Nothobranchius furzeri: one gene and its partners. The protein of the gene in region 2 purifies or fractionates together with the protein of the main gene of each other region. This does not show direct contact. Links are inferred from orthologs where the notes say so. Each region holds a gene or a part of one and is shown on either strand. Other genes may lie near its edges. The genes, in order: rnf170, erlin2 and insig1.

What was found.
Region 1: the proteins of erlin2 (region 2) and rnf170 purify together in Homo sapiens (affinity purification with mass spectrometry; 4 studies listed by BioGRID and IntAct, counting the BioPlex papers as one, with this or other methods). This does not show direct contact. The link is inferred for Nothobranchius furzeri from reciprocal best matches to the Homo sapiens genes ERLIN2 and RNF170.
Region 3: the proteins of erlin2 (region 2) and insig1 purify together in Homo sapiens (affinity purification with western blotting; 4 studies listed by BioGRID and IntAct, with this or other methods). This does not show direct contact. The link is inferred for Nothobranchius furzeri from reciprocal best matches to the Homo sapiens genes ERLIN2 and INSIG1.

The regions. Positions count from the first base shown.
Region 1 is NC_091746.1:47,853,245-47,863,801, forward strand, and holds the start of rnf170 (E3 ubiquitin-protein ligase RNF170), read right to left. Parts: upstream 5,848-10,557; 5' UTR 5,651-5,847; intron 3,859-5,650; 5' UTR 3,843-3,858; coding exon 3,703-3,842; intron 3,537-3,702; coding exon 3,461-3,536; intron 3,196-3,460; coding exon 3,081-3,195; intron 959-3,080; coding exon 885-958; intron 1-884. Other genes in the region: gpn3 (GPN-loop GTPase 3), read left to right, coding at 6,214-6,261, 6,395-6,503, 8,732-8,899, 9,025-9,149, 9,247-9,362, 9,491-9,587, 9,675-9,803, 9,898-9,963; arpc3 (actin-related protein 2/3 complex subunit 3), read left to right, coding at 10,408-10,413. UniProt on the Homo sapiens protein: E3 ubiquitin-protein ligase that plays an essential role in stimulus-induced inositol 1,4,5-trisphosphate receptor type 1 (ITPR1) ubiquitination and degradation via the endoplasmic reticulum-associated degradation (ERAD) pathway.
Region 2 is NC_091757.1:29,250,999-29,261,315, forward strand, and holds the start of erlin2 (erlin-2), read right to left. Parts: upstream 6,441-10,317; 5' UTR 6,300-6,440; intron 5,117-6,299; 5' UTR 5,018-5,116; intron 4,077-5,017; 5' UTR 4,050-4,076; coding exon 3,943-4,049; intron 3,530-3,942; coding exon 3,448-3,529; intron 3,120-3,447; coding exon 3,073-3,119; intron 2,923-3,072; coding exon 2,861-2,922; intron 2,252-2,860; coding exon 2,126-2,251; intron 299-2,125; coding exon 225-298; intron 1-224. UniProt on the Homo sapiens protein: Component of the ERLIN1/ERLIN2 complex which mediates the endoplasmic reticulum-associated degradation (ERAD) of inositol 1,4,5-trisphosphate receptors (IP3Rs) such as ITPR1.
Region 3 is NC_091747.1:47,851,224-47,861,581, forward strand, and holds the start of insig1 (insulin-induced gene 1 protein), read right to left. Parts: upstream 5,823-10,358; 5' UTR 5,708-5,822; intron 4,234-5,707; 5' UTR 4,081-4,233; intron 3,986-4,080; exon of another isoform or gene 3,983-3,985; 5' UTR 3,951-3,982; coding exon 3,890-3,950; intron 3,809-3,889; coding exon 3,461-3,808; intron 1,901-3,460; coding exon 1,776-1,900; intron 1,546-1,775; coding exon 1,379-1,545; intron 1,289-1,378; coding exon 1,189-1,288; intron 1-1,188. UniProt on the Homo sapiens protein: Oxysterol-binding protein that mediates feedback control of cholesterol synthesis by controlling both endoplasmic reticulum to Golgi transport of SCAP and degradation of HMGCR.

The DNA of each region.
Region 1 (10,557 bases), on a different chromosome or scaffold from region 2:
AGGGTGACTCGCTCTAAATATTAAGAAACGTTCTTTTATCGAGTGCATCTCAAGCAAAATCATGAGGTGTCTCACATGGACAAAAATATAATTAAATTTAATGAAAAGTAATATTAATTAATAAAAAAATAGAAACATCATAAAAATGAAAAGAGTAAAAATTGTGATTACAAAAAACAAGAAATCCATTCTACAATGTCAGATTCCCATCAGGTGTTTCAGCACCAATTATGTGAATCAGCTGTTTTTCCACAAAAATATTTATTTAATGAGTAAAATTATTTGTGGATGAGGAACATGAGTGGACGACTGAGAACTTCAGTGTTGCGGTTCCCCCTTTCTACCACTAGATGCTGTTCTTACGCATGATGTGAAGTTTTCTTATATTTAGGAACATTTCCACGCATGGGTATAAAATGATGAATACCACACAATGCGTAAATTAGTTCCTACGCACGATATATGCACGGATCTGTGCGTAAGTACGGTTGATAAATGAGGCCCCTGGATTCAGCTTTACTTACAAAAGTCTCCATAAAGGGAGTACGATGCATTCCTACAGTTAGAAAGAGAAGAGCTGATAGTCTACCTCAGTTCTACGGTTAACTGCAGATAACTGAGAATAATCCATCTTCAATACATACTATGCCTATAGTGCCACAAGCTTTTAAAACAACTTATTTCCTAGCTGTTGTTCTCACATTGTCGGGGTGTTTCTGTAAAAAGTAAAGCTCTTCTCGATGTGCTAGTCATAAATTAGGCACACGAGCACCTGCTGCCTGCCCCATCTGACTTTGAAGGTGAGTTCAGAAAGCTGCAAACTAAATGTGACTGACATGAAAACTCAGAGACTTCAGAATTAAAATACATATTTTAAGTCTCACCATCTGTCTGCAGATTGGACAGTGGATGGCACCCAGCCAGGTGCCATACCTCCAGTAAGCTAGAATGCAGGAACCTATGAAGAAGTAATGAAAACACACATTAGAACAACTTCAAAGGTAACTTTTATGATAAAGGTTAGTCTGAGTCAGAGTCAACAGATGTACTCAAACACAGATGAAACTGAGCCTGACAGTGTGTCTATAACTATTCTTGTATTTTAAAAGCTTCAGTTGTTCACACAAAAGTCAACAAAAAAAAAACAAACATTAAAGACCAAGTTCACCCGTTTGCAGTGGTCCCTAGTGTAAATGTGAATTTGGCTTTTTTTCCCCCCCAGAGATCATCATAAAACTCTCATGCTCCTGTTTGAAGGAGTAGAAGTTAGCTAGAGAAGAGTGGAGCTGAAGATGACAGGATTTGGAGTCTTACTACCTGATATTTGGACCTCTCCTCAGATTGGCTAAGAGCAACAGGACTCTACCACTGACTCTGTTTGCTTTGCAACATTGATGGTTTATCTCAACAGGTAACACAAACCTGAAGGAGTTCTGCCTTGTTGCTAATGCTAACGATTAGCTTCTACTAGCCGAGACATTCTCTGCTGTTTCCTGGACGCTCAAACAACACCTGCCTCCCCGTCATGAGTCAAGATGGGCGAGTCCATGAATGTTAAGTGACAGTGTGACACAGATCTGTTGGGCTATTCAAATCCTAGATTAACACCGTCTATTTTCTTTCGGTGGCTAATGCAGGAGATCAGCCTGCATGAAAAACAAGTAACATATTTTTCATTGAACTTGGTCTTTAAAAGTTGTTTTGGTGAAACAAAGGTCAATTCTTAACTTTCTCCTGTTTTAATGACTTCTATTTAGCTCACTGCAGATGGTCAGAACCTGTCCAATATTCCCAAGTGGTGCTCGCTGCAGAACCAAAATGGCAGAGCTGCACCAGAAGGTGGGTCTGCACCAGAGTCAGCCCCGCCCATTCCATCAGAGTCAGTCCAATTCCTTCCAGTTGTCAGACTTGATAGCATTCTGGAACCAAAGAGGGTGTTATAGCTAAAAAATGCAAGATTGAGGACGGAGTTGAGAAGTTAATTGAACAGTTTTTGTAAAGGTTCTATATAATGAAAAATCTAACTTTTAGAACATTTTACCATGTTATATTGTCATTTCCTCATAAGAAACACGCCAAAGCCATTTTTAGCCTCATTCATGCATTTTCCTCCCATCTCAGCTTCAATTTAGTCCTCTCCTCCGAAGCGGGTCTGGTCTTGGTTCTCAAATCTGGAAATTCTGTGAATTTTCTGACAAATTATTTCTGAAATGACTTCAACTGAGACCCCGCCAATAAACCATTCATCCCATCTACAAAGACACACTGGATGGCACAATTACATGTAACGCCACTTATATTTTATCAGATGTGTTGGTGAAGTGGTTATGGAGTCAGGCTGACATGCAGTTTTGCGCAGGTTCGTCTCACAGTAGCGGAATTATTAAGTAGTTTAAAACCCCTTTTCTAGCCATACTTGCCAGTACTATGTTTACAACAATTTACTGGTATACCGTTTAACATATAATGACTAATGTGTTTATTTATTTATTTATTTAGCCAGTGTGAGTCCATTTGTGAGCAGAGTTTCAACTAAAATGCTGTTTAGGAATGACCAAATTCAAAGAAATTTTAGAGACATAAATATTTTGCTGAAAATAAACATTACAACTAAAATATAAACAAATTAAATGTTTCAGTTGGCTAAATAGATTGCTGACGACCCCACCGAGAGTCGAACCAGCATCAGCTGAGGGGAAAGCAAAACTTAAGTCAGACGGTCTTGCCACTGGACTACCAGAACCTATTCAATTGCATTAAATGCTGTTGTATGTGGGTTTTGTTAGAGCGGCTGTGGGCAGATATTTGTTATAAGAAACCTTTTCTTTTCGGGATATATTCAGGCTTTGTCATGTAGCAAGTTATATTTATCTTGTTTAATTGGAGCATAGAACATAGCATTAATGACTGTAAACTAGTAACAGCCGTAATTCATGTGGGTCAGGTCAGTTTGCGATAAAGTTGAAAAACAAAAACAGAAGAAGTCAGTGGGCTAGGCTGAGTTTGCGTGAATGGGCAGGGCTGACTCTGGTGCAGCTCCACCATTGTAGTTCTGCAGCGAGCACCCTCAATGTTCTTACCACAGAAAAGATGTCCACAGTTGGTTTCCACAGGCAGAACAGCTTGTTGTAAACACACAGGACAGGACATGTCTGTGTAATACTGCAGCCTGGCTTCTGTCTGAGGATTTTCATCCTACAGAGATCACATGTTGGCATTTGCTTTATAATAAAAGTGATTGTTTTAGTTCATCACCAGCATGCAAAATAAATTACAGTCATTAAAAATAAAATCTTTCTAAGAAAGACAATGCTTCTGCAAATTTTTTAACAAGTGAAATGTATTGATGTGTTTCTGTGGCTTTTAGGAGCTGTAGCTACTTTCTCCTGCCTTCTACAACCTTTTGAGCATTAATAATCAACTTGAAAGCCCCAAAATGTAGTTTTCCTTCAGATTCTACCTGATCAGTTTGGAGCTGTTGCCTGACGGCCCGGACATGCTCCTGATTCTCAGGGTGAATATTCTGCTGCTCCTGCCTATAAGGGACCAAAAGCAACATTATACAGACTTCCTCTATATGAATATAAGTCTAATATTAGCCCAAATACACGACTTGTAAAATTACTTCTTAATAAGTTGCAACAAATGTTTAAACAAATTTTAAAGGTTTTTTTCTTGATAACCATCTGATTCGGAGCTTACCTGAAGATCAAAGTCAGAAGGCCTGCAAGGAAGGTGAAACTGAGGACCACCACGAACAAAACCTGGTTGCTGACACCCTCAATGATGGTGTCCTCATCCTGGATTAGGTAGTCCAAGTCCCCACACTGACTATCCTCCATTGTCCAAACTCATAGCCTGGAATTTTAGAAAACAAGGAGAAAATACAGGTAACACTTTAATGTCAAATATTTTGTTTTGAACCAATTTCTTCAGATATATAACTCTTTGATATTAGTGTCAAACACAAAAATCACCGTTTTTGGCCTTATTTAGTGACAGTGTATTTTTTTATCACGTATGACACTGTGTGCTTAGTGCGCAGTTATCTCAAGCTGTAAAGAAAATTAATACTCATATGTCTCCTGTAGGCCAAAAACAAAACATTCTTATCAGATCACGAAGAGCTAGAGCACCTATCCCTATCATGACCAGCTGCACCACTGTGTGGTACGGCAGATGCACAGCATCCTGTCAGAAATCTCTGCTGTGAATAGTGAGAGCAGCAGAGAAGATCACAGTTGTCCCACTTCACCCACCTGACTCAAGTCTGAGTGAAGTCACCCCTACCAGAGTCACTCCACCCCCACTTCCTGTTTGAAAAATGCAACAAATCCTGTTCCCTAGCACACTGAGGGCGCAGCTGCTAACAAACACACACAGGCTGTTTCTCAATATGCATACTTGTGTGTACTCACATCCTTGTGAAACGTCATCAACGATGGCCCAAGGACTGTTCCAATCCTAAGTATGCAAGTTCGCTCAAAGTTCCCGGATGTGATCTTGCTCCGCCCATTGTATCGAGGATGCCTCAATGCATCATTCCGCGGACATAACGCATGGCGTCGCAACCGTTATACTCTGAACGTCAGAGGAGAAAGCTAATAACTGTAATGTTTTGTTTTAATGTTAAAGTGCAAAACTATTGACTACACGTGTCTGCAGCATGATTAGACACTCATTTATATAGTTTATCTGCAAGAAAAAGTTGATAAACTTATTTTGATAAACTACATAAATGCATGTCTAATCGTGCTGCAGACACGTGTAGTCAATAGTTTTGCACTTTAGTTAAAATTTAAAATTTCTGCCTAAAACTGTCAGTGTTCTGACGTTGTCGGGTAAAAACTGCACTGCATTTGAATTTAAATCTGCCATCGCTATTGGCTAATACGTACCCTAAAACATTAGCTGGTACCATATGATGACACAAACTTGTTGTGAGCCTGTGTGTGCATTTGTTAGTGGCTCCACCCTCTTGGTCTGCTAGGCAACAGCATTTGTTGCATTTTTTCAAACAGGATGTGGGAGTTGAGTAAGAATCTGGTAGGGAGTGACTTGCTCTTTAAAGCTAGATTTAAAACATAACTTGAATCAGCTGCTTTTAAAGTTGTGACCTTTTCCATTCATGTAAATAATTTATTAACTTTAAAAATTACATAACACATACTTACTTACGAAAGCTCCTTGGTCACGAAGATTAGCTAGACATTGCTGTTTAATTAAAAACGTCTAAGAAGAAAAATGATCAAATAACCCGTGATGCACTGCGGTGGGTTTGAAGCTAATAATGACTTGATCTAAGCTACTAAACACCTCTCGCTGTCTTCGACTTCCCTTTCTGCAATAAAACAAAGAGTGAACGCTGAAAAACGTAAAAATATGTTTCGTTTGATAGTGAAGGGCGGTGTTATCGTGAACACCGCTGCAGTAACAGCGAGTCTGTAAAGTTCACTTTCGAAAACTCCCAGATAGATAATGGCAAATGTTTGAATCATTAATCGAACTCTCGAAGCTAATATTTCTGACTAACTAACAAAATTGATTTAGCATGCGCAGCTACTTTAAAGCCAAACCATAACACACAAAGCAACCCAATAAAATAAACACTCGATGCTTTACTGTATACAAAACCATATTGGATACCTACCAACAAGATTTTCGCTTTCACGCGAAAGTTCTTCTACTAGCTTAACTTGTCAATCAACTCACTTTGTCTAAACATTTAGCCATTTTTATAATAAAGTTAAATGATGAAGACAAGTGACCAGGTCAAGTATTTCTGACTGTGTTGTTGCTGCAACACTTCATCGTGATGTAGTAGTTTGTGTCTTCCTCGTGTTCTCTAGCTACCTTCTACTTCCTTCTTTTTTCTGTCAATACCCTCTACCGCCATCTACTGTTAGCTAAAATGTATACAACAAAAATCTGCTGTTAAGGCTAATCAAATGAGCTAAATCATAATTATTCTTTACACATTGAAGAAATTGTTAGATGTTTAGGTCACGTTATAAGATAAATAAATACATTTGAATTTTTGTTCGCGGTTCAATGTGATAATTCACCAGCTAATCAAGAGGGGGCAGTAGTGAGGCAGGCAACCGGATGTTACGGAAAAGCAGAAGAAAAACTCTCAGGTCAACAGTTAGCTAACTGTGAGAAGCTACGTGAACTAAATTAACCAGGTCACAGGTGTGGTAAAGGTGGGATAAAATGCCTCGTTATGCCCAACTAGTGATGGGCCCGGCGGGCAGCGGTAAGGTAAGTCATCGCTGATCACGCTGGACGTCATAAATGCTTTCTTATGTTATAATGCGTTGCTAACATGTTGAGCTAAGGCAAGTGCTACACAAACTATAACTTCTGTCTTCGTTTTTTTGGTCTGATATTTCAGAGTACTTACTGCTCCACCTTGGTCCAGCATGCAGAGGCCTTAAACCGATCTGTTCAGGTGGTAAATCTGGATCCTGCTGCTGAGCATTTTGACTACCCTGTGATGGCAGGTAAAGACTTTTAAAGATCACATCAGAAAGGCTTAATAGGAAAACAGAAATTGTGTAAAATGAAGAAATTCAAATAGATTAGGTTAGGTTTCATTGTTACATGGTGATCACTTGTAGTTTCGGATAAAAAATATGGAAACACTTTGTGATTGTGATTTTGTGGATTGGTCTTTTTATTTAAATTCAGTTTAGTAAAACAATTACTTCTGATAGGATTACCGTAAATCCTCTAATACAGGCCGGTATTCAATTAAAGGCCGGGTCTCCAATTTTGGCCGGTGTCAGAGTCAGCGGAGGTAAATAATGGCCGGTCTCTTATTGTGGCCGGATGGCATGTGGTAACAAGCAAGTACGAGCGTCCCAGCGGCAGGGTTATAGTTCCCAAATCAACCAGCAGGAGGCAGTAGAGGTTCACGCAGACCTTTATTAGGCCTTTTCTTCAACGCTTTGTAACGCTACAGACACGATCCTCTATCACGCTCCTACCACACAGAGTCATGGTGTCAGTTAACCATGCTAATTCAACCCACTCCACAGAACACACATCACCTTCCCTGTGGCTTACATAACACTCACACAACACGCAAATCAGCACATAGGAACTAGCAGAACGATAGGAAACACATATAACACAATACCCAGAATGCACCTGGCTTACAACCCCAGCCAGGTCATTACACTATCAAGTTCAAAGAGAACGTGCTGATTATGCTGCAGAACACTCTGGAGAGCAGCAGTAGGGTGTGTATGAACTACAGTAATCCCTCGTTTATCGCGGTAGATGCGTTCCAGACCTGGCCGCGATAGGTGAAAATCCGCGAAGTAGGGACTCCCAGCATGCCCCTCGCGGGGATTCCCTTCACGTCGCACCTACGTCACAAACCGCGGCTATAAACGGAAGTTGCCTTTCCAGCTCACCACTCAGTCATCGTTTCTTCAGATTCACGATCAGAGTTTCCAACCTACCGATCAATCCAACGAACTATCAGCTCATAGTAAGTTATCTTACTTACTTCTGGAAAGCCCGGCATTTCCGTGTCACTTCGTTGACGCTCGAACGCTCGGGGGTTTCCTAGATCAGCCGGCGTTTCACCGACGCTCTCACTTCCGCGTCTGTGAAACCACGCTCCCTATTGAATTATCGTATGATCACATTCTCTTTTTGGGGGTAAAACTCAAGTGCCAGACCGTAGGTACTGACACGCGATCGTTCATGTCGGTTAATTTTTAATGTTTTCTGTCTTTTATTTGCGCCTGATGTGTATCGCTGCTGTGGAGCGGGGCGCATCAACTTGTCCTCCGACGCACAGATCACAGCAGGGAGCGCTCAGCTGTTTTCGCGGTCGGTAGATCTGCCTCCTGAGCACGGCCACAGTAACAATCAGGTGTCGCCACCTCAAAAACTAATTTAACACGCGATCGTTCATGTCAGTTCATTTCCTTTAATTTTTTCTGTCTTTTATTTGCGCCTGATGTGTTTCGCTGCACGCTGTGGAGCGGGACGCTGCGCGCATCACCTTGTCCTCCGACGCACTGATCACTGATACAGCCGCCAAACAGCAAGCGCTCCGCTGTTTTTGCGGTCGGTAGATCTTTTAGAACTGCAGTTCAAAGGTAACTCATGAGGTGAATATGAACCCAGGCAGCAGTTTTTCTTTAGGATTGAGAGGAGATGCAGGAAGATAATAAACAGACAGGACAGAAAAATAGTCAAATAAAAACAAGTTAGTTTTTGTACCTGCTGTTGCAACAAACAGACACCATTGAAGGTCATCAGAAGTGAGGAACAGAAAATGAAATAATTATTTTAATGTTTAGAGCAGCAGGAACTCCGAGAGGCTGCAGGCGCATCAGTGAGTTTGCGGCCGCTGCGCAGGGGGAGGGGGGAGAGGGCTGAAGCAGGGGGAGGGGGGAGAGGGCTGAAGCAGGAACTACCGTTGTTAAAAGAAATGTGTTTAACTTTGAAAATGTGGGCGCACTTTTAATTGTCAAAAACTCCAGCGAACCATAGTTCATTTTGCTCAAATAGAAATAGAGGCCTGCCTCTAATACTGGCCCTCCTTCCAATAAAGGCCTGGAGCTTGATGAGCTTGAGTCAAATACAGGCCCGGGCCTGTATTAGAGGATTTACGGTAACTCACAAGTACAAGTAACATCAGGAGGATTTTTTAAATTAATTACTTTCTCCGTGAAGCACACTATATTTGATTGCAGTCCTGCTTTGTCAGACATCCGTGAGCTCATCCAGGTCGATGATGTGATGGAGGATGACTCTCTGAAATTTGGCCCTAACGGAGGTCTGGTCTTCTGCATGGAGTACTTTGCCAACAACTTTGACTGGCTGGAGGAAAGTCTGGGCCATGTGGAAGATGACTATATTCTGTTTGACTGCCCAGGTGAGTAATCTGTTTAACAAACATAACTTTAGTATTGGCTGTTAAGTTTGGTCTAATTGATCTAAAGGTAAGTCCTTTTTAAATTACATAAGTTTGAAGCTTTGTGTTGTTTTTACTTTAAACAGGTCAGATTGAACTTTACACACACGTCCCTGTGATGAGACAACTGGTGGAGCAGCTCCAGCAGTGGGAGTTTCGGGTGTGTGGGGTGTTTTTAGTCGACTCACAGTTCATGGTGGAGTCATTTAAGGTAACCATATATCTGTTCTTTTATGTTTGTGTCATTTTCTTTAGCGCAAGTTGTTTTAAACTAAGGTGCGCTCATCTTTTACGTGTTTCAACTGTAGTTTATATCTGGGGTCATGGCTGCCCTGAGTGCCATGGTGTCATTAGAAATTCCTCAAGTAAACGTCATGACAAAGATGGATCTGCTCAGCCCCAAAGCAAAGAAAGAAATAGAAAAGTAAGTTTTGCATGGTTAAAGCAAAAAAAGTATGTAGTGCCAGAGAAGTTAACATGCAACATCAGTTTTGCTTTCCATAAACTGTTTATAATTGGTAAATCTTTAAGGCAGTTGTGTATTTTTACAAGGTACCTGGACCCCGACATGTACTCTATGATGGAGGATAATTCTGACACTTTCAGAAGCCAAAAGTTCAAGAAGCTTACCAAAGCTATTTGTGGTTTGGTATGATGTCATTTATTAGATTTAGAAACATTTTTTAATGGTAAACTGACATATTTTTTCTGTTTTTTATTTTATTTTTATATATAGATAGATGACTACAGTATGGTCAGATTCTTGCCTTTTGACCGCACAGATGAGGAAGGCATTAACATAGTCATGCAGCACATCGACTTTTCCATTCAGTATGGAGAGGACCTGGAATTCAAGGAGCCTAAGGTGAAGAAACAACCATATTAACACAAATCTAATTATAATGCAAATCTTTATTATTTATTAAAACTAAATAAAATATGGTTTTCTTCTCCATCAGGAAGTTGATGAAGAACCAGCAAATTTAAACTACGATGAGCTGTTTCAAAACAAAGTTGTCTGTTGAAGAGTATTGTGATCGTGTGTCAGCTGGGAAAACAGCATGTGCATGCAGGTTTTAGATGAAGTTCAGCTGGAGAGCTTCATATCAAAAGAGGAAATGGACAATAGCTAAATAAAACTGACTTTGGACTAGTCTTTTATGTTTAAAATATTATTTTCTGTTTTTATTATTTATACAACTCAAGATTTATTTTCATTTGACAAATTAAAAATAAAAACCTGAAGTGTTGTTAAATAGATGTACTAATGTTATATTTTTTAAATAAAACATTACACAATGTGCACTTTTCTGTGACGAGATTGTTTTCAGCACCCCCCAGTGGCCGCTATGTCACACGACACGTGTTCACTTCCGGTAAAGCTACAGGGTGGGAAAGGCGGAAGCAGCGTCTGGGGGTGCACGGATATTTGTCTTGCTGAGCAGTTGGATTGATATCTTTCATTCAACATGCCGGTGAGTATATACTTTGCGATAGCTGTTGACGACAGCTATTTGTTTTTATTGATTTATGAAGCCAGAATTGTGTCATGAAACTGTCTTTATTTTACGTTAGCTGTGAAGACGGACATCTGTGGCATAGTTAGCTAGGCTCGTTAG
Region 2 (10,317 bases):
GTCTGTTTCTGCTGCCTCTTGGCCAGATTGCCGTTGTAAATGAGAATGAGCTCTCAATCGACTCGTCTGGGTAAATAAAATAAATAAATCTGTACCGGTGTCCATCAGGAAGGACATGTCCCTCCCACTGGATACAGACAGGTCATAAAGATGGAGACTAAACCTAAAATAAAACAATGTGGTTTGATCTGATCCAATTAGAGAAAACACACACACACACACACCTGGATAATGAGCCCAGGTGCCATGGAGGTGAGGTCCTCTTGTAGAGTCAGCTTCAGGTTTTCATCTATCTGGTCTGTTTGAGTAAAGAAGATAAAAGCAGCTTCAGTTATCTACTTGTATGGGTAACACACAGACTTAATAACATTATTTATTCATTTCAAACACCTTATATTGGGGAGGAACGTTTCTAAGACGCCACTGGAGTGAAATACTCCACTCAGGGGGTTAGAAATGTTCTGGTTTGGTTCCAGAGGAGTTTAGCAGCTCTTTAGACCGACATGACCACAAAAAATTCTAAAACACTAAAATAACACACACACACACACACAGCTGACTAGTTACAGCCCAGCTGAGAAAGGGTTGATGACGGCAGAATGCTGACTCACAGCTCATGATCAGGCCCGATTCAGACCAGTCATGGAAAACCGTAGTTTCTCCTCACCGGTGCTGACTAAATACAGCTGTGTTATAATATGTGTGTCAAACTACGACCAGTTTAGATGTCAGACGTCTTTCCAACCGTCACCTCCTCCTGGGTGGTGAGAGCAGGACTGAATGAGTCACTTTTAGGAACCAACAGCAACGATAAGAGCCGAGTGGTGGTTTCGTCCAGAGCGGACCCTGATTGGCAACATTCATGCAAAAGCTGGAGAAGTGCACTCTCAGCCACTTTGGCGTGTAGAAGCTCTGACTGTTAGCCGGTAGTATGTTACTCTATACCACAGGCCGAAATGATACTGTAATACCAGTAATACCAGTAATCATACTGGTTATTTCTTATACCGTGCATTGCTAGGCTGGACCATGGCAACTTTTGCACAAATGCAAACAGAAGAGTTAGTCTGCTGCAGATGTGTGCAGATGCAAGGACCAACAACAGAGACCATAATCATGAATATTTTACAGGAGAACATCAATCCCAGTGTCTTTAGATCCCCTTAAATTATAATCCCGTGTTTTTAAGCTGAAGTAGTTTTACTATACTTATACTAAGTCTGGTTAAAAAAGGTCACATTTGTTTAAAGTACCCGATTTTAATGGCTGCTTGTGAGAAGTGGAGACAAAATAAGTCCTGTGTTTATGTAGAGTAGGACCCCCCAAGGTGCTTTACAACACACCAGTCATTCACCCATTGGTGGTGGTGAGCTGCATCGTAGCCACGGCTGCCCTGGGCATACTGACAGAGGCGAGGCTGCTGAATACTGGTACCACCGGTCCCGCCAACAGCTGGCAAGGAGGGTGGAGTGTCTTGCCCAAGGACACAACCGAAGAGACAGACTGGGTGGGACTCAAACCTGCAACCCTGAGGTTACAGGGCAGGCATTTACCTCTTCTGCCACTGTCATCAGTAAAGCATCAGGATTTATATGTTGATGCACTTAGCAGACGCTTTCATCCAAAGCAAGTCATGCAGAGGTGAGGCAGCAACGAGGGCGGAGTGTCTAGCCCAAGGACACAACGGCAGAGTGACGAGGAATAACCTGGTTTTGAGTCCTATTCTGCCTATAACCAGAGGGTTGCAAGGTTGCATCCTGTTCAGTCTGTCTCAGCTGTTGTGTCCTTGGGCAAGACACTTCCCCCTCCATGCCTGCTGATGGTGGTCGGAGGGGCCGGTGGTGTCTGTACAGCAGCCCTCTTCTGTCCGTGCACCCCAGAGCAGCTGTGGCTATGATGTAGCTCATCACCACCGTGTGAATGTGTGTGTGAATGGCCGGTGTCTTGTAAAGTGCTTTGGGGCGGTTGTAGAACTCTAGAAGGCACTATCTGAATACAGGGCATTTATTTCTTCTTTTGATTTGAACCCTAACACAGCTCGTCCGATTCCTGAACAGGAGAGTCGGAATGTAGCGAGATGAACGAGAATAGGAACTTTAAACGATCCTGCCGCACTTCCACCCACCGAACAGGCCGATGTACACCTCCTGGAGCGAGTGGACGCTGCAAAACTGGTTAAGTTCATGGTGAACTTTGTTGAATATCAAGGCTTTGTCATAGTCAGCTGTGAAGTTCCTGACTATGTCGTAGACTGAGGAAGGAGAGGAGAGCTGATGTTAGACACACAGATTATTCTGTCCATGGTTAAAGCTGCAATAGCAAATCTGCAAAACAAGCTAGCTTTTAAACCCTAACACAGCTATCAGCCCTGAAGGCCACGTCCAGCGGGTACCGCAGCCCACGACGCCAGAGGAAAGGAAAAGTGCTGAACACCAGTCACTGTTTTCTGAGCTGAACGTCTCTTGTTGTCCGTGGCTTCACCTTTTTGGGACTCTGGTAGTTTGTCCTAAAGTTGAAGCGGTAGCAGCCGGCTGTTTCTCCTTCTCTGATAATACTGAGTGGAGAGCCTCTCACACCAATGGCGCTCTGCTGCTATAGACACAAGTGCATAACGAGTATTGAGTAAATGTGCAAGTGTGGCGGTTTGGCGAGACCGACAACCGGACAGACTAATGGTTGGTTTTGGACCAAGCCATGTTATTGGTGGAGGTTTTTAGACAAACGTGAGAGAACCACTTCTTTCACTTTCTTTTTCATTGTAGTTTTATTTTTATTTTCACAATATATTTATAGATGTTTTAAGCTAGCTTGTTTAGCAGATTTGCTGTTGCAGCGGTGAGATCAGAGGTTTATTCTTTACCTGCTGAGGGAATGAGGTAGTTCACCACTTCTATACGGTCAAAGTAAATGATCACTCCTCCACTGAAGGAGACAACATTACATCTCGTCTCAAACATAGTCAGTGTTTTAAAAGGTGACAATAAACCAGTACACTCACTGTGTGAGAGTGTATCTGGACTATTTTATACAAGTTAGATCATCCTATCAGGCTAATTATAACTGCACACCCACCTCGTACCACAGGGCACATTCTTCACCTCGTCTGTCTGCAGAGTGGTCTGAAAGGCAACACAAAAACTAAATCTGATGACAAGTTCAGAATGTTCTTTTCTCAGGGTTTCATTAATGATATCATTATGAAACTAAACGAGCCAGAAAGGAGGTGCTATGGGAGTAAATCCATCAGCAGGGAGTGAAATCACGCCATTTGATAGGAGAACTCGATTCTAGACACTCTAGAGAGAACTGGAGTGTATGTGTGTGTGTGTGTATGTGTAGGGGGAGTTGTCACAAAACGCAAAGTGTGTGTACTCTCTGGCTGCTAACACACTTATGTGTTAAGAGGCACTAATGATGTGCAAAAGCTGAGAGCCCAACTATCCGTACCTGAACAGACTTGTAGGTGGTGATGAATGGAAGCATGAGATGGAAACCTGGGCCACTGGTTGTAGTCAAGAGAGCTCCACCTCTGGATCACACACATGCACACACACTTATATTTATGAAAGAGAACGAGTCAAAACAAACGAGTCTGAGGAAAAGGGCTGTGATTATTTATAAAAAGGCAGAAAAAAGTCTGATGACAGTTCCAAGGTAGTGCTTGATGTGCCCCGATAACACACCTACACCTTCAGTGGAAATGGGACAAAATACTTTTTCTGATTCATTTAACAAGAAATCCATTAGTTATTTTGTATAAAAAGCGTCATTGAATCAAGAAAACACTATAAGATTATTTCACCAATGATAAGGATAATAAAACATGCTTGAATAATGCTTAACCGCTACAGTTTTCACAGTAATTACACAGGTAGCATGCAATCACATCTTTGTGGTTTCGTTTTTATGACACACAAAAGTAAATGCATCCTGCAGGCTCACCTGTAGTACACTCCTGTGTGTCCTTCATCTATCTTGTGCACCGAGGCCAACAGAGCTGCTCCTCCGAGAGCAGCTATGATAGAGACAACGGCACCCCACTGAGCCATCCTGGCAAGCAGTCGGTGGAAGGCAGCCTGTAAAAGCGAGCAGGAGTATCACACCGACCTTTCAGCTACATGATGACACTAAATGTCCTGAGTTGTGCTGCAGCAACACAAACGAGCCGGTTAAACTACTCTCAGCCTGGGTTTAGGAATACATGTAGAGGATTAGGCCAAAGTTCAGCATCGTGTCCTCTCTGGAGATGAATACAAACCGGTGAATGGATGAAATCCCCTATTATGATTAGGAATAATGAGGTAAAAGGAGAAAACAGACATGGAGGTCGGTGGTTTAGCAGTAGAGTCAGAGGATCTCCTCAGATTAAGGATTTGCAGACACAATCTGGTGACCTTATGGCACAAGACTGGTCTCGTTTCCAGATCAGCAGGTGTTTTTAAACTCCTTGGTGTTTCTTCTTACATTTATACATGAGTGGTGAGTGTTTGGGTTTGACCGAGCCCCTGTGGTTTTCAGTCGTTTGGGTAATAAATTGGTCAAACTCAAGATAATTTAAATCAAAATGACCACTTTGTGGACTCTTGTTGAAGCCGAAATACCGGCAATAATGTAAAACCTTTAATACAATCATCAAACGTGGGACCAAGTACGTGAGCGAGGTTTAAAAGAAAGTTGATTTAAAACGTGTAAATATTTAAACTAAATACGGACTCGTGTGATAGAAGCGTAAGCCGTTAGCATGATAAATAATCATATTACTCAAGTCTCAAAGACAGGAGCCACTTTTGAGTTACACACCTGTTTATATAAGAACACACACGTATCAGCTGAGCGTCAAACCACAACATTAAAGCCACATTTTTAGAGCTTTAGCTAAAGTGCTAATTAGCAACACAGTTCCAGCACGTCTGGTTCTCTTTGGAAACGATGCAACGAGACTACAAGACTGGCAAGAACAGACACGTGTGTAAAAAACAAAACGGCTAACTCATTTACGTTGGTTCTCTGCTCTTACCTTTAATTTTTGTGTGACTTTGGCAAATCACACAGAACAGCTTCTTATTCTGTTTACATTCTCAACTGCTCAGCGTCAACAGCGTCGCCGTAGCGCCCTCTGGTGGACAGTCACAAAACAGCATTCAGCATTGGGCTGTGTAAACGGTAGCTATTTTTCAGAGGGTAATGAGAACAAAGACCAGATACAATTAATTAAACCGAAAATGAATTATTTAATAGGCAAAACTACAATAATAATAATAATAATAACAACAACAAAAATTGGTACTATCTGAACTAGGTGTGATAAATGTTTATCAAAACAAAAGAAGCTTATTCCACAAATGAGGAGTACACAATTTTAAAATGATAGTTAAAATCATTCAAACTAATTATATCTACTTACGTCAGCAATTATAAATAGTATGAGTCTTATAATTATTAATGAGATTTTAGCATGACTTCAAAAACAAACAAAAAAGAGAGGCAAAATGACAAAAGATTAAGCACTTCTGTTTGTGCAGACCCCTTTGGGCTTTATGTTGTTATTTATTTTTAGATATTTTTTTAATAATGCAGCTACAAGATGGACGGAGATGAATTCATGATTAATGCGTATTTACAACAGAAAAGCACAACAGCTGGAGAAAAACTGCAGTAAAAAAAAGTGCCTACTTTTTCGCAACAGATGTGTCTGAGCCATGCAGAGTTTGCTTGTCTCTGCTAAATATGTTAAATGTGAGTGGTGTGCTTTATTTGTTTTCATGATTGCATTTGCTGTGTTCTTTCATTTTTAAAGGAAATAATTTTGTTTTGATCTAATAAAATAATAAATGAATTAATCCCGAAGTTCCAAAATAAAGCACGTTTCGTCGAGCCGTTCTTTGAAATATGATTACAAAATTAGTCCCGATTTAGCTTTTGCCTTTAATATAAGTTGATGCAGGCTGGAGTCTGGACAGTGAGCTGCATTTGCACCCTGAAAAATGATACAGAAATGTTCTGTTTGCATAGCAGGCCTATCTGATATGTTCCTGTGTGTCTGCAGCGCAGGGTATCCTATAACAGAAGGTGGCGCCTTGGATGAGATGTTCTTGTTACATTAGACCTGTTTTGTTTGAGGATACAGCGGAAGCAAACCAGCGTGCATGGGCCTCAGCATCACAATGATCCAGAGCTGTGCCAAGCTTCCCTCTGCAGTCAACTGACTGGGTGTTTGGGTACCAGACTGGAAAGGCGTGGCAGTGGGCTGAACCAGGCGCGCTGAGCGATGGAAAAAACACACACCAGGGCCCACTGACCTGGTACCAGCTGAGTCCCCGGAGCAGCCTGACAAAAGGAGCGGCGGTGGAGTCAGCCCCCAGCACACACGTCGTTATCAACCGGAGAAGGCTTTAGGCTGTGGGTGTGCCGCTCAGCGACCGTCGTCCCTGGATGCGCTGAGGTGAGTTCACCTGCAGACAAAACCGACTGGGCGTTAACGGTGTTCCCCTAGCGCGTGCATGAACGCTGTGTGCGCCTTCAGCGGGTCCTGTCAAAGAAGCTGTGGCCCATTCTGCTCGTTGTTTATGTCACTGCAGGGCGCTCCCAGTCCTCTTCCATGGACTCCAACAGGAATCCTGAAGGGGTGATCCTGCACGCGCACCAGTCCAAACAGCGCGTGCTTACATTTGAAATCAGCTGGCAGAAACGATAGGGTATAATGCATGGATGTGATATGTTTGTGTTCGTCTGCTAACAAGGGGGGGGACTGTGATGTCGGCGCTGACGTGTCAGTGGTGGCTTTTGTTGGTTCTGACTCCAGACCGTTAGCGGTTCGGACGATGGCGGAGTCCAATGCGTTCGTTCTAGTTACTCTGAGCTGTTCGTTTGCGGAATATTCATTCTTCTTTGCAGAAGTCAGTCGTGCAGCACCGAGCAGCCACCGCTGGCCTCTGTGTGGAAGCCATTGGTGGATCCGGCTGGTGCTGATGCTGCAGAGCGCGAGTGTTATGCAGCGCGCGGGCCTCCATCAGGATGGAGGGGAAACCAGCAGAATGTAATGTGTCATGTTGACGGTGAAACTCAGGGATGTAGTGCGTTTTAACGTAGAGCAAACCAAGGTGTGTGTGTTTGTGCGTTTGTGTGTGTGTGTGCGTGCGTGCGCGCGCGCGTGATTCCTTGCATGACTCATGAGCTCCACTGGGCATTTCGTCGTGTGTTTTGTCCGGTCTTCTCCTAGCTACAACACTGTAAACATTTTATTTCCAATATGACATAAAAGTGCAAAATTCAGTCCATCAATGTAAAATGAGCTCCTGGGTCCGAGAGCCAACACGACTATCCATTAAAGCTGGAACATCATTCAAGTAAAAGGCAGATTTATGAGTCTGCAGCGTGCACTTTGTTAGAGTTCAGCATTCATCTCAGTGGTTACAGAGAGGGAGCAGCCTGGTCCTCCCAGAGCTTTGTTATTATTCATTTATATTTAGCAGTTTTGGGAATGGAGACCAATTCTCCGTAGAGTAAATGGATGGAGTAAAATCTAAATATTTATATAAGGGTTTATCTCATCCTCAGAAGGCAGTGTTATTGTAATTTATAGGAAAACACAGAACTAATGTTAAATGCACCTGGAGGATTGTAAATGAAATAGTGAAACAAAAGGTTGTTAAAGAGTATCCAGCTTATTTCAACTCAAATAATGATTAATGAAAATAAACTTAAATCAGATCACCTCAATGAGAACTTTGTTAATGTGGGTAAAACCTATTTAGTTCTCATGTTTTCCTACGATAATAATGTCAATGAATACTGACTCTACTTTGATCAAAAATACAAATGAAGAAGAAATACTATAGTTCAGAAATGAAAAATTAACAAATTAACTGATGATTATGAATTTGACACATTTTTGAAAATAAGGATCATTGATTGTATAGTTAAACTTATATTTGTATTCTGTCCCTGATCAATGGGAGATCTCCTTCAGAAATGATGCCTGTTGAACAAAGATTTCAATTCTGTCTTGTAACAATGCCATTATTCAAATCCGGTGATAAATACGTCTTTTCAAATTATAGACCAATCTCATTAATACCACACTTCTCAAAAGTTCAGAGGATATTTATAAGAAAAAGTTGAATGATTTCATAGTTTAACACCAAATATTCTGCAACCAGCTGTCTGCATTCAGGAAAAATCATATCGGCAGCTCCAACTGATTTTGTTAAACAAATAACAAATACAATAGAGGTCAAACAACACACGGTTGGGGTGTTTTTTGGATTCACAGAAAGCATTTGATACCATAGATCACACATCACTATTGAATAAGTTGTTATGGTATTAGAGGACTGGCACATGATTGGATAACTAGCTCTACAGAATTGGACTAGTGTGTTCAATTTAACACAGCAAATTCAGGTAATCTGAAGGTTACGTGTGGAGTACCACAGGGTTCAGTATAGGGATGTGTATTGATGAATGTATGGCGATACGGTATCACGATGCGGGGAGGCAATACAATGTATCGTGATATATTGCAATACATTCAGCCAGACGATATTAGCGATTTTTTAGACTGAATAAATTGTAGGAAAATTCTATAAACGGTCCAAACTGATACTTAACATGTTTAACATGAGATATCTGAACCATAACAGAGGGATTTACATTTCAATGGTGGAAACAAATCCCATTGCACACTGCTGCTGACTAGCGGTCACCAAAAAAGAAAAGAAAACACATGAATGTTTGCATGTAAATTATTCCAAATATTTGATACACGGCTTTTGAATATTGATATAATATCACAGGAAAAATATCACGATATATTGCCATATTGATATTTTCTTTCATCCTTAGTTCAGTCCATAGTCCATTATTGTTTACTTTATAAATTAATGACATTTGTTTGGTTTCAAAGCCTCTAAATTGTGTTCTTTTGCTGATGATACAACTGTGTTTTGTAGCAGAGACCATTTGGAACAGCTTCTCTAGTGACGGAGAAGGACCTACACACATTTAAACAATAGTTTGATTCAAATATATTATAATATGACCAGAAATCCAAGTAGCAATTTAACAATGAACAATGTTGCAATAGAAATTGTAACTGAAATAAAATTTATTGGAATTACTATTGCTGAGCGATTACGCTGGAAACCACACATAAACCATGTGAAATTTAAACTGTCAAAACTATTGTAATTTTGTATGAAGGCCACTACTTCCTTTCTCAAAATTCACTAACCAACAAATAATACTTGTTATTATTTCCATATATGACACATTGCATTGAGGTTTAGGGAAACACATATAAAACAAATAACAGTTCAGTAACTTTATTGGAAAAGAAAACCAGAAAGCCATCAGTTATAAACATTAATCTGCACCAACCAACCAAACGTAGGGTTAAATATTGTTGCTTTTAAGCTTAATATATTACCTTTACTTATGACCAATAAGCTGGGATATTTTATATAAATATAGAGTATCACTCTGGTCTTTGAATGTTTGATCAGACGATTCTAGGATTCTTTGCTTTTTCAGGGATCAAACACACTTCATATCAGTTCAGACAACAATTAAACAATTAAAAACATGACAAGTTAACTAAGACTACTGTGATGGATGAACCTAAGTGGATGGGATGTGATATATGGTGATTGAATGGTGTGTGTTTATCAGAGCCTTGTATCTAGAAGAACTGAGTTCTGGGTGTGAAAAGAATTTGGTTTGCATCAAACTATGAAGTTGGTTCTTATCAAAACGGCATCAGACGCAATCATGTGTGTCTACCTCACCCTTCCTTTGGAGACCCTCTCCACGGATTCGGAGGTCAGGGAGGTCAGATGACCTCTGGGCACCGAGGTTCGGTAGATTAACTGCAGTACCGACGCCCCAGTCCAGAGATGTCGCCAGGCACACAGGTTGGAACTAGTTTGCATCTAGAGCAGCTGTTTCTGAATAGCTGAAGGAACTGTTTTGCTGTGTCAGCTGTAGGTTGTAACATATGGGCTTAAATAAGGGCCAAAATGTTTGTGTAGTTAAAAGAAAAATTTGAAATTGAAAATATGTAAACTGAAAGCAAAAGTCACATTTTTAGAGTGAACTTTGAAAAAGAAAGACTTGGATTTAAAATAAAATCAAACGTTTGGAATATTTGTAAGAACTGAAACCCCAATGATATTTTTATTTAGAATTTTTCTGAGTAAACTTTACTAAAGAATTTTCAGTAATTTTTTTTTAATTATTGTTTTTTTAAAAATCCATTCAGTCTCAGATTAAATTTTTTCACATTCAGATCCTTTAAATTAATGTACAAAAAAATTCTTC
Region 3 (10,358 bases), on a different chromosome or scaffold from region 2:
ACCCAGGACACGGCAGAGGGACTATGCCTCTCACCTGGCCAGGGAACGCCTTGGGATTCCCCCAGAGGAGCTGGCCCAAGTGGTTGGGGAGAGGGAAGTCTGGGCCTCTCGCCTTAGGCTACTGCCCCTGCGACCCGACTCCGGATAAGCGGATGAAAATGGATGGATGGAGACTTGTCCACAAAAAGCTTGGGGTAAAAAAGAAAAAGCATAACCATTGGTGCCACTTACCTGGGCCACCCCATTTTAAAAGATCTGGCCACGCCACTGCCATAAACTTGAATATATAAATACCTCAGTGGGGGCTGGAGAGCGTCGCTATATTAGGTGGATTTCTCACTCTCCAAACCCAACTGGAGTCAATACAGGTTGAGCAAATATGCCTGTCTTTTGTGCAGCCTACTGTTGCAGCAACAGGCGCATTATTGAAAAGAGATCATCTGGGATTTCTACTGACTTTTCTGGCTACCCGTTGGGATTTTACATTTGAATTTATTTTCTATCCATCCATCCATTTTTGGCCGATTATCCAGGGTCAGGTCGCAGGGGCAGTAGCCTAAGTCGAGAGGCCCAGACTTCCCTTTCCCCATGCGCTTGGGCCAGCTCCTGCGGGGGAATCTCAAGGAGTTTCCTGGCCAGCCAAGAGACATATTCCCTCCATCGTGTCCTGGGTCTTCCTTTAGGTCTTCGCCCAGTTGGACGTGCCCGGAAAACCTCACTAGGGAGGCGTCCAGGAGGCATCCCAACTAGCTGCCTGAGACAATTTATTTTATTTTATTATATTTATATTTTAACTATGATGCCATACCATATGTGTGTCTTTGTGAAAAAGGATAATAAAATGTGTGATTTAGTTGGGTAAACGTCTTCCTCGGTAAAAAAATGCCATTGGGGGCGAAAGAATAGAGATTCATCCAAGATGGCAGCCCGCTGCTACACCAGCACCAATAGGCAGCGCTAATCCACAGAGTGTCTATGTATATGATGAAGGCAGTAAAAAATCCTGCCCCCTAGCAGTTGAAGTTTGAATAGCAACACATATACAATAAATACTTGCATTTAAATACTCAATAAAATTGATACTGCCTTTGAATATTGATTCAGAATAATAAAATATTGCGATATTTCAGTGCAGCAACATTTTTATACATCACTGGGAAGCAGTTAAAAAATGGCAGAAAATGTTACCATGGCAAGTTGGCGTCCGATGTTTCCCACAGTAACGCCGCCTGAGAAGAAAATACACGGGAGCCAGGAACGCACGTACAAAAAGTCTGGAGATGTGTACCTGAAAATAGAACAAAAAAAGAAAAGCTTTTTACTTTACTTCTCCAAATGAAGACATTTCTGGTTCTGCATAATTAAGCAAAGACCTTACTGAAAAACTCCATTGTAGACCAGCAGCTGTGAGATGATGGTAGCTAAGAAGGCCGTGGTGATGCCCAGACCAAACCCACTTCTGGAGCGGTCAAATGTCCACCAGAGGCCCAAAGACAAGGCCGCCAGTGTGAGGGACAGCTGCACGTTGTTGGCAAAGTCTAGTTTCTGTGTTACTGTGGGTTAAGGGCAAAGTTAAACAAGATGATGATGATGTGCTTTTGTTCAAATATTGTTTCGACCGCCTGGTTTCAAGTTCAACCATTAGTGTCAAAAGTTATTGTGTTACTCTCATCCAAACAGGAGGTGGAATATTTTTCCACTTTTCTCCAATTTTCTGGGACAAAAAACTAGCATTAAAATAAGGATTACTTAGGGAAAACATCACAAAAGGATACAACACTAGCATGGTTGATGCCAACAAACACTGCAATGCATCTCATGACGCTTGCCCACTCCCTCTTGAACTTGTGCGGTTCCCCCAAATGGCTGTCGAGGCAGGGATAGAGCAGGCCAACAACAGCTGGAAATAGAAAAAAATGGAACAAAAAGTCAGGAATTATGCAAGATAAGCACAAATTCTCTGAACTAAACAGGACACATCCTGTCAGAGCTGGTTATATGCTGACCAAGTGTTGTTTTACTTTGTGACACATCCATTCACATAGATATCATTAAGTGTTTAAAGAAAAAAGCAAAGAAATGTTCTATTATTTATTGAATTTTTTTTGTTTGATTGTGTATTTGATGAAGTGGAATACAGATACATTTTTTGATTGTGACTTTTTATTACTTTACCACATTTAAATGAAAAAAAAGAAACTAATACAGACTTTCACAGCAAAATAAAATACTTGTAGTCAACCTTTTTTTAAAATAGCTGTAATAATTTAAAAAAATACCAAAGACCAAAAAATATGTTTAAGTCAAAGACGTTGTCCAGCCTCTAGAAATGATGTCCTTTTTATATTTAAATTTTAAAAAAGTACTTTGGGCATTTAACAAAAACTAAGGTAACTTTAAATGAGGACAAATTGTATTCTAAATCACAGCTCTTCATTAAACCTAGTGTTACAATAATTAGCTATAACTTCTACAGTGAAAATTAGACACAGTCATTTTGTTTCACTTTTTTTAACGGATTAAAAGTCAAGACTGGTGAAACATTTTAAATCTGCCAGGAAATAATGTGGTAATTTCTTTATAAATGCCTTTAAAACCTAAAAATGTAACTGGTCTGAAATATCTAGCGAGGGAAGTTCTGATTTTTTCCAATTTTTGGCATAACTGAACAGACACAATTTAACCAATGATCATGCTTGACTGGTGATTTAAAAGTACCAGGACTAACCTAATCTGTTTGTTGTGCACAAAAATGAAGTGGAAAACAGCTATTTAATTAAACTAAAGTTTAACAAGCTGGAGTAAATTAAACATGCTGAAAGACAAAAAGCTAAAAGTTTTCTGCTCAGCAGCACATGGAAGGAGGAGCAAAACGCGTTTTTTCTACCTCCTCTCATTTCCGGGTTCCTGGCCTTAAAGGGGGCGGCCCTTATCTCACCCGTTATGACACCAGCTAATGAGCGAACAGCTCACGTAGACTCTGACCAATCAGAAGCCAAGAAGCTCTACCGTCTGCAACTAGTCGTGTCTTTTGATACTAGACTGCCACTCAACCATAAAAAGTCTTCCCCGACGGAAGAAAAACAGCGTTACAACAACAACAGCGTTACAACAACAACATAGTAAAGCCGAATGACAACGTATCGCAGTAGGACACGATAGAAAACGACAAATTAGAAGATTTTCAAAATGTGTTGTTATAAAGCCGCGTTTGATTTATTAAATGACATAAATGGGTGCTTACTTTAGCGTGCAAGTGCAAATAAGAATAAAATATGATTTTCCAGACTCTTAATGCCTACAAATGAATTATAAATTAAATGTATCCTCCTCGTTAGCATTTTTAAATTAAATAAATAATGCTCCACGGTAACCCCTCCCCTCTTTGCTTGTCTTTGTCCCCAAATTAGCTGTAAACTAATACAGTTATGAAGTTCACCTCCGTTTATGGTCCACTTACCTGCTCCTGTACCGCAGCATGGCGGGATCCACCAGGCAGACGAAAACAAAGTTGTCATCACCTCCTCTGGAAAAAGGGTGACATTTCTTTGTATCTGCAGCAAGTTGAGCACCAGGGCGAGGAAGACCCCAACCGTGAAGAGGACGAGACCCCTTCGGATCAGGTTGGTGGTCCTGCCGTGGTGGAGGGAGCCGTAGGCAGTGCTGAGCACCTTGGTGGTGATGGACATCATTTCTTCAGCTTTAGATGCGAACCAGCTGGCGCCAAATGAATCTTTAGTTTTAGCTTTTGGTGAACAAGGGCAGCTCCAGTAGTGGTCCTCCAGTCTGGGCATTTGGCACTTCTGAGCTGTTTGAAAGCAGATTCATTCAATTATCTCACATAAAAAAGACACGTTGAGGCAAGGATGACGCGATTCTTGGTCCTTACCTTGTTGATCTCCAGATGAATTAAGTGTCTGGTCCAAAACGAAACCTGCACTCCAGCTCATTCGAGTTAAGCCACGATCCCCGTTTTGCTTTCCTGCTGTTTCCGACAAGGACAGCCGTCACGTCGTTTGTTCACATCATATTTAGTAAACACACAGCGTTGCTTCATTCTACAGCTAAAAGAGCTCGTACCCCAAAAAGAACCAGGACTTCCACTGCAGAAAACAATCTCAGCTGTGTCTGGTGAGAGGCGGCAGCCAATCAGAGCGCGGCAGCTGATATGACGTGACACCAACGCCCCGCCCCGTCGTCCGGTTCAGACAGACTGATCAGGAGGCTGCAGGGCTGAAACGAAAGTAGAAATACTTTAAATAGCGGGAAACATGTAACTCTGGTTTTACATAACATTTAAAATGGGGTGATTAAATATATGAGGACACATTTAAAGGGACACAGTCAAACATTAACATTGATCATGAACGTTAATTCATAATCTACAAAATCAGTTTTGCAAAGTATATGGCAAAAAGTAGATTACATCTGATCAGAACAGACTAAAACCTGATAACATTTAAACGTCTTACAAAAGTACAATGAATAGAATCAAATTTTCAGGTTTTATTCTAGTCAAATGCCAGTGCTGGAGGTTTTCCATATTACATATAGTTTTCTCAAATTATCACATGAGTTTTGCATTCACTCCAACACCCATATTGGATTGGAACCCATTGAATTTTCAGCCCAGGCTAATGTTTTACACTGTGGGGTGGCAGCTGCAAAGGCGTGATCACCTACTACTCTTCACCCTAGGGACATCTTAGGTTGTTTGATCTTAATGTCCTGTCAGTCAGACCAATAAAAGTTTTGAAAACCAACAACAGGAAAAAGAAAAACTCTACTGGTCATAGAGCTAAGAAATAAAGCTGGCTATAGTGATGGTGGTCCATCCATGCATGACGTTATGGTGTAATGTAGACCAATGGTTCCCACATTTTTTACCTTCAGATAAAAAAAATGACAGATATTAAGACTTACAATATATCTTATTGAACTATACATACTTTACTAAAAGCAAGGGCATAATGAAAATTTACAAAGACAATGTACTAGGAATATATATATATATATATATATATATATATATATATATATATATATATATATATATATATATATATATATATTAGGGACACACAAAAAATCAATAAACTTGAACATTGCTACATTTTGTATGCTGGATTGATAGTTAAAAACAATATATTGATTTTAATTGAGAATTTATGTACAAACATTTACTGTATTTCTTTTGTGTGGTAAAAAAATCTCTGACTGCTAGTCATCTGTTTTTTTACTGCCTTTATGACGGAACAGTGACATCTCGCAGTAACACCAGATGTGTCTTGGAAGCATCTCGCCTGAATTTTTCAATGAACTTCAGTCCTAAAAATTGCAAATATTGTCACCCCTGTATTGTGAAATATATTGTTTTGCCGTATTTTTGTCAATACACACTCCTAACCCCATGTTAAACTCAGATTATAAATTTTAGTTTTACCTTTATACCATTTACAATAAAATATTACAGGAATAAAAAATTTTAAAGTCATGTTAGAATTCAGGAAAACATTTTAAGACCCCAGCCTTAAAGCTTTGTGACCCAAACTCTAGAAAGTCTAACAGAGGCTTTAGAGAGTTTTTCCGTTTTTTCTTTTATGGGTAAAAAATTCGTAACAACATCTCTAAAGTGCTTGTACCGGTTATCAAAAGCAGTTTTAATAACAACGATGACTTTTCAAAATGAAAATAGTTTGTCTTTTACCAGTCAGAACAGGATTCCTCTAAGATGGAGACTGTGAGTGTCTTCTTTTCTCAATAAATCTGTAGCATCTTCCAACTCAACTAATCTCTCATCACAGGAGCTCTTATATAGACATGCGTCGAAAACGGGGTTAGTAGCACATGCGTTTGTTTTTCTGATGTTGGTAACAGGTTATTGACCTCTGGGTCAGTCTACTGGAGGTGTGTCTCTTGGGGCAAGTTGTGGCGCTCCTGCATATCAGTCAGACAACATATAACTGGATAAAAGGTCAGTATTCATTTTTCAAGGACCAATAACAACATGGGTTAGATTAGGTAACATAATCTGGAGAGCACAATAACAGATACTGCATGCATGTGTTGAATACATTTGTATCCACAAAGAAATAAACTGGAAATAAAAAGCTAATTTGCTGATGAAAATGTTATTTAACCCTCCCACTGTCTTTATGGGTGACCCCGCAAGAAAAGTTGACCATTGAGCAGGATTGATGGTTTATCCCATTAGGTCCACATAGCAGGGGTGAGGTGGTGCTCACACCTCACCCCTGCCACATGGACCCAAGGGATAAACCATCAACCCTGCTCAATGGTCAACTTTCCTCGCGGGGTCACACCCATTAGGACAGCGGGAGGGTTTAACAGATATGTCATATTTCCTGCAAAACCATGAGCACCAATGACATGGATGACTGACTTCATTCAAACTGATTCACAGGTTAAATGCATGACCTGCAGCAAATTTAGTAAACAAATTCAGATAGCTGGGGAAAAAAATCTGTTTTGGGGATTATCAAACTGAGCTGCTGAAATCCCATATTGTTGCATTTATTACTTCATTATACAAAGATGCAGAGCTGAGATTGAGTTTAGCATTATGGTTGTTAGAACTGGTTTTTGGCTATCACCCAATGTTGAAGTGTACTTGGACTAAACACAGAGCCCCACGTAGCTTCAGATCCTTGTGTCATCAGTGCATGATTGGAGAGAAAAAGTGCTCCACTAACAGGTTGCACAATGACTGCCTGTAAATAGGGGATTGGGAAACTCTGCAAAGAATTTAGCGAAATTAAAAAACTTAAAAAGGCACCCACCATGCATATTAGTGTGGATCATTTATGGTTTTATGAACTAGCTATACTGGTAGTTTAGGGTTAGCATCTTGTTTAGATGATAAAACTTTTAAAATATTTTGATAACTCTAGTGTTTTAGTTGTTAATAGTCGTAGAAGTCATTCAAACAGACAACAGTAAAGCTGCTAAATGGACTTTAGAACATGTGACTTACTTATAACTACATGATATGAGTGGCTTCAAATGCAGAAGAATTGTAGCAGGTGAAAGTAATTTACACTTTGTATTTATTGGGGTTGTTTTATCTTAAACTTAAGAATTGTTATGGATACATACATTTAAATCATATTATGTCTCCATATAGGTAGCCTAAGTCATGCCCATCTACTTCCGGACCAGTGATCCCCTGAAGAATGAAAAAATGAATGCAAGTCAATGGGGCTAAAAATATTTTCTAATCCTGTTTGTTATGTGCGATGGATTTCACATATGATGTCCCTGAATTTTAAAGGTACATTCTGATCCCAAGAAAGCACTTATTTTCAAACGGGGCAAAAGTAATTTTAGGCTTTGTGTGAAAATCTATCCAGGACTACAAATGCGCGATACCAAATTGATGTCATCAAACCAGACACAAAGAAAAGCAGTGGGAAATGGCTGTAGGTTCAGCAAACTTTTCCTCACTGTCATTTGCTTCTTGCTAGACCAGCTAGGACAGTTTCACATGACTACACAAAGTCTCATGACTCTACCTCATTCAGTTTGCTGCACAGCATCTCAAATGAGTCATCACCTGTTGCTACCGTAGATATCTACATCATAGTCTTTTAGGCTCTAAAATTATTTGTATAAAAAAAAATAAAAACTGCTTTTCTGACCCTTTTTTTGTAAAGAACCATTTTCTCGCGACAGCATGCGCGATATCTGCCGGGCAGACATTATAATATTGCAAATGAGGGGCATGTTGATTGGTGGAAGGAAGCAGGGGTGTTGACACTGTAGGTTTTGCTTCAGTATCTCTCTCCAAAATAGCATCCCTGTGATGGACAACGTCCCGGCATGCATACACAGTAGTCTAACTTAGCCTTACTGTTTGAATTTCAGGCAAGTATCTCAGTGTTGAAATGGCCTCTCTTTCTAGACAAATCCTTGATGCCATCTTCGCCTGATATTGCCCCAAATTTATAAAGCATTCTGGCTTAAAATAGTTAGCATAGACGCTGAGACTAGTGGGGAGAGTTTCGGGAACAGCACTGTTAAAAATAAAATTAATCCACTGGTCCCTGGCAGCTTGGTTCAATTTTGGTAAAACAAACACATGTGTGGAGTTTGGCAGTCAACAGCCACCATGGTAGTCAGCAGCTCACATGTGAAACTCCCTTAGACATTTTTCCTTTTCTCAATTTCAGTAATGGAATTACTGCAACTAAATTTGAGGGAAGCGTAGCTGTGCGTGGTATAGTGACATTGCTCTGTGCTGTCCACATATGGTACTGTACATCCTGCCTTAGTGACAACATCGAGGCCAGAACTCAAGATCTCGTTTTGGGCAGGGGCGCCTCCAGAAAATGTTGATGGAGTGGCCGGATGGGGCCAAAGAAATCTTTGGGGTGGCACACCAAATTGGTCCTTATGGTAACGCTGGGAGAATTTAGCTTGTGGCGATGTACTGCATTGCTCCTTTATTCATTTTAATTAAAATAACTACGTATCCAAAACAGTTAACTTAAATTTTACAAACACAAACATTTCAGAAAAATACATTTCAGTTATTTAAAATGTTATCCATAATTTAAATGAAAAATTTATATTTTTGTAGGTTAATTCACCTGTTGCTGTGTTAAAAAATAAACTATAGAGATAAAAAAAAGTTAAAATGGTGAGCATGAGAAACATATGTAATTATTTAATTCTGATTATTTCTTTACTCATTAATTGTAATATTTTAATTTTGTTTTACAATATGTCTTAAATAAACAAGATCAATTTATTGTTTGACTGAACATTAACGTTATTTGTTAACACTGGCTTTTCCTGGGGGGGGGGCATGGCCTCCCCTGACTACCCCTTGGGGGCGCCCATGGCTTTGAGGTGCACGTGAGTTGGTTGATGAAGCCAACAGTAAAAAACGATCCAAAGTTAAATATCGGCTTCCCAACCAGTGAACAATCATTAGGATGCCATTACATAATAGGAACATTGGCAACCTACACACACCTTTTCATTATTTTTTTTAAATTCGTAATATATTTGCACTGGTAAAATTAAGTCAGTAATAGACACACTTCTATGGTGTCTGTAAACGTTCGCCCACCTCTACTTTGAACACTTAAAGAAGGTTTACCAAACATCTACACAGTAAAGGAAATGAAAATGTCATAATATTGAAGGCCTATCACTTGACACAAAAGTGAAGATAGATGACACTAAAAAGAATCTTTTAAAAAACTTTGACCAAGGTTGGGATTTGTGGCTTCTCTATTGTTAGCATTTGCTTGTGGAAAAAGAGGAGGGTTTTAGGCTTTGCAACATCACTGCCCGAGACAAAAATGGGTTAGGGTTAGGGTTATTTTCACTTGCTAGTTTTTACAAGCTCAGTTACTCCCCTATGTAGAAGACCACAGGTGAAGGACATTGTCTAGCTATTCCACATCCAAGCAATGGTTTTTCTGCAAAGACACTGACAATTTGGGGAACTACTGCCACCTATAGGATTAGAATGCATATGAATGTGCTTCACAATAGATTAAAAATGCTTAAAATAAGGTGGTGTGGACCCAAGGAGGATATTCAGTTTTACAAAAACGTGGCTACGTGTACGCTACCTAAAAGTTTCATTGTAGTCATTCGTTTACAGATAAATTAATACACACAAAAACATTATCAACCACCAGGTAGTGTTATCAAACCCTTGTCAGGGCAGCCTTTCTCATGCCTTTTTAATTGTCTCTCTGCCCAATGAAGGAATTAGTGAAACCATGACACATGAAGATGATAAAAAATGTAAAAAAGAAGCGACTCGCTACAAAACAGACTTCCTGTAAGGTTACAACAGCAGGCTGGGGACCAGTGTTGCTGTTGACAAGCCTGCAAATGAAGTGGTGGCAAATCCATACGAAAAGGAGCTTCCTGCGATCAGTTCTAACCATGTCATGACACAATTTGAAAGATAAAGCAGCCTTTTCAGCCTCACTGGAGCAGCTACAGAAGGACATTTTGAAAGTATTACGTCTGCAGACTGCACATTCAAACTGACCGATTTTAAATTGGTTTCACTTGGAGTGAATGAGAAAAGTCATCTCTAAAATGGCAGCGATAACGGGGTGGTTAAATATAAATGTCACAGCTGCACTCCACTAGAGCTTTTTTCACTTTTTAAGCAAAGAAATAAAGCATGAAAGAACGTTGAGGGCTGAAAAGTTAGCGTTTGTCTCCCCAGTTTCATTTCTTAGAGCTCGAATAAATAAACCATGTCTTACGGGATGACGACGATGATGAAAGAAGGAATGTATTTTTAAGCCAAAACAGGTTTCTTGTGGCATTTTTTTTCTTTCAAAAAGATGCTTGGACACAACATC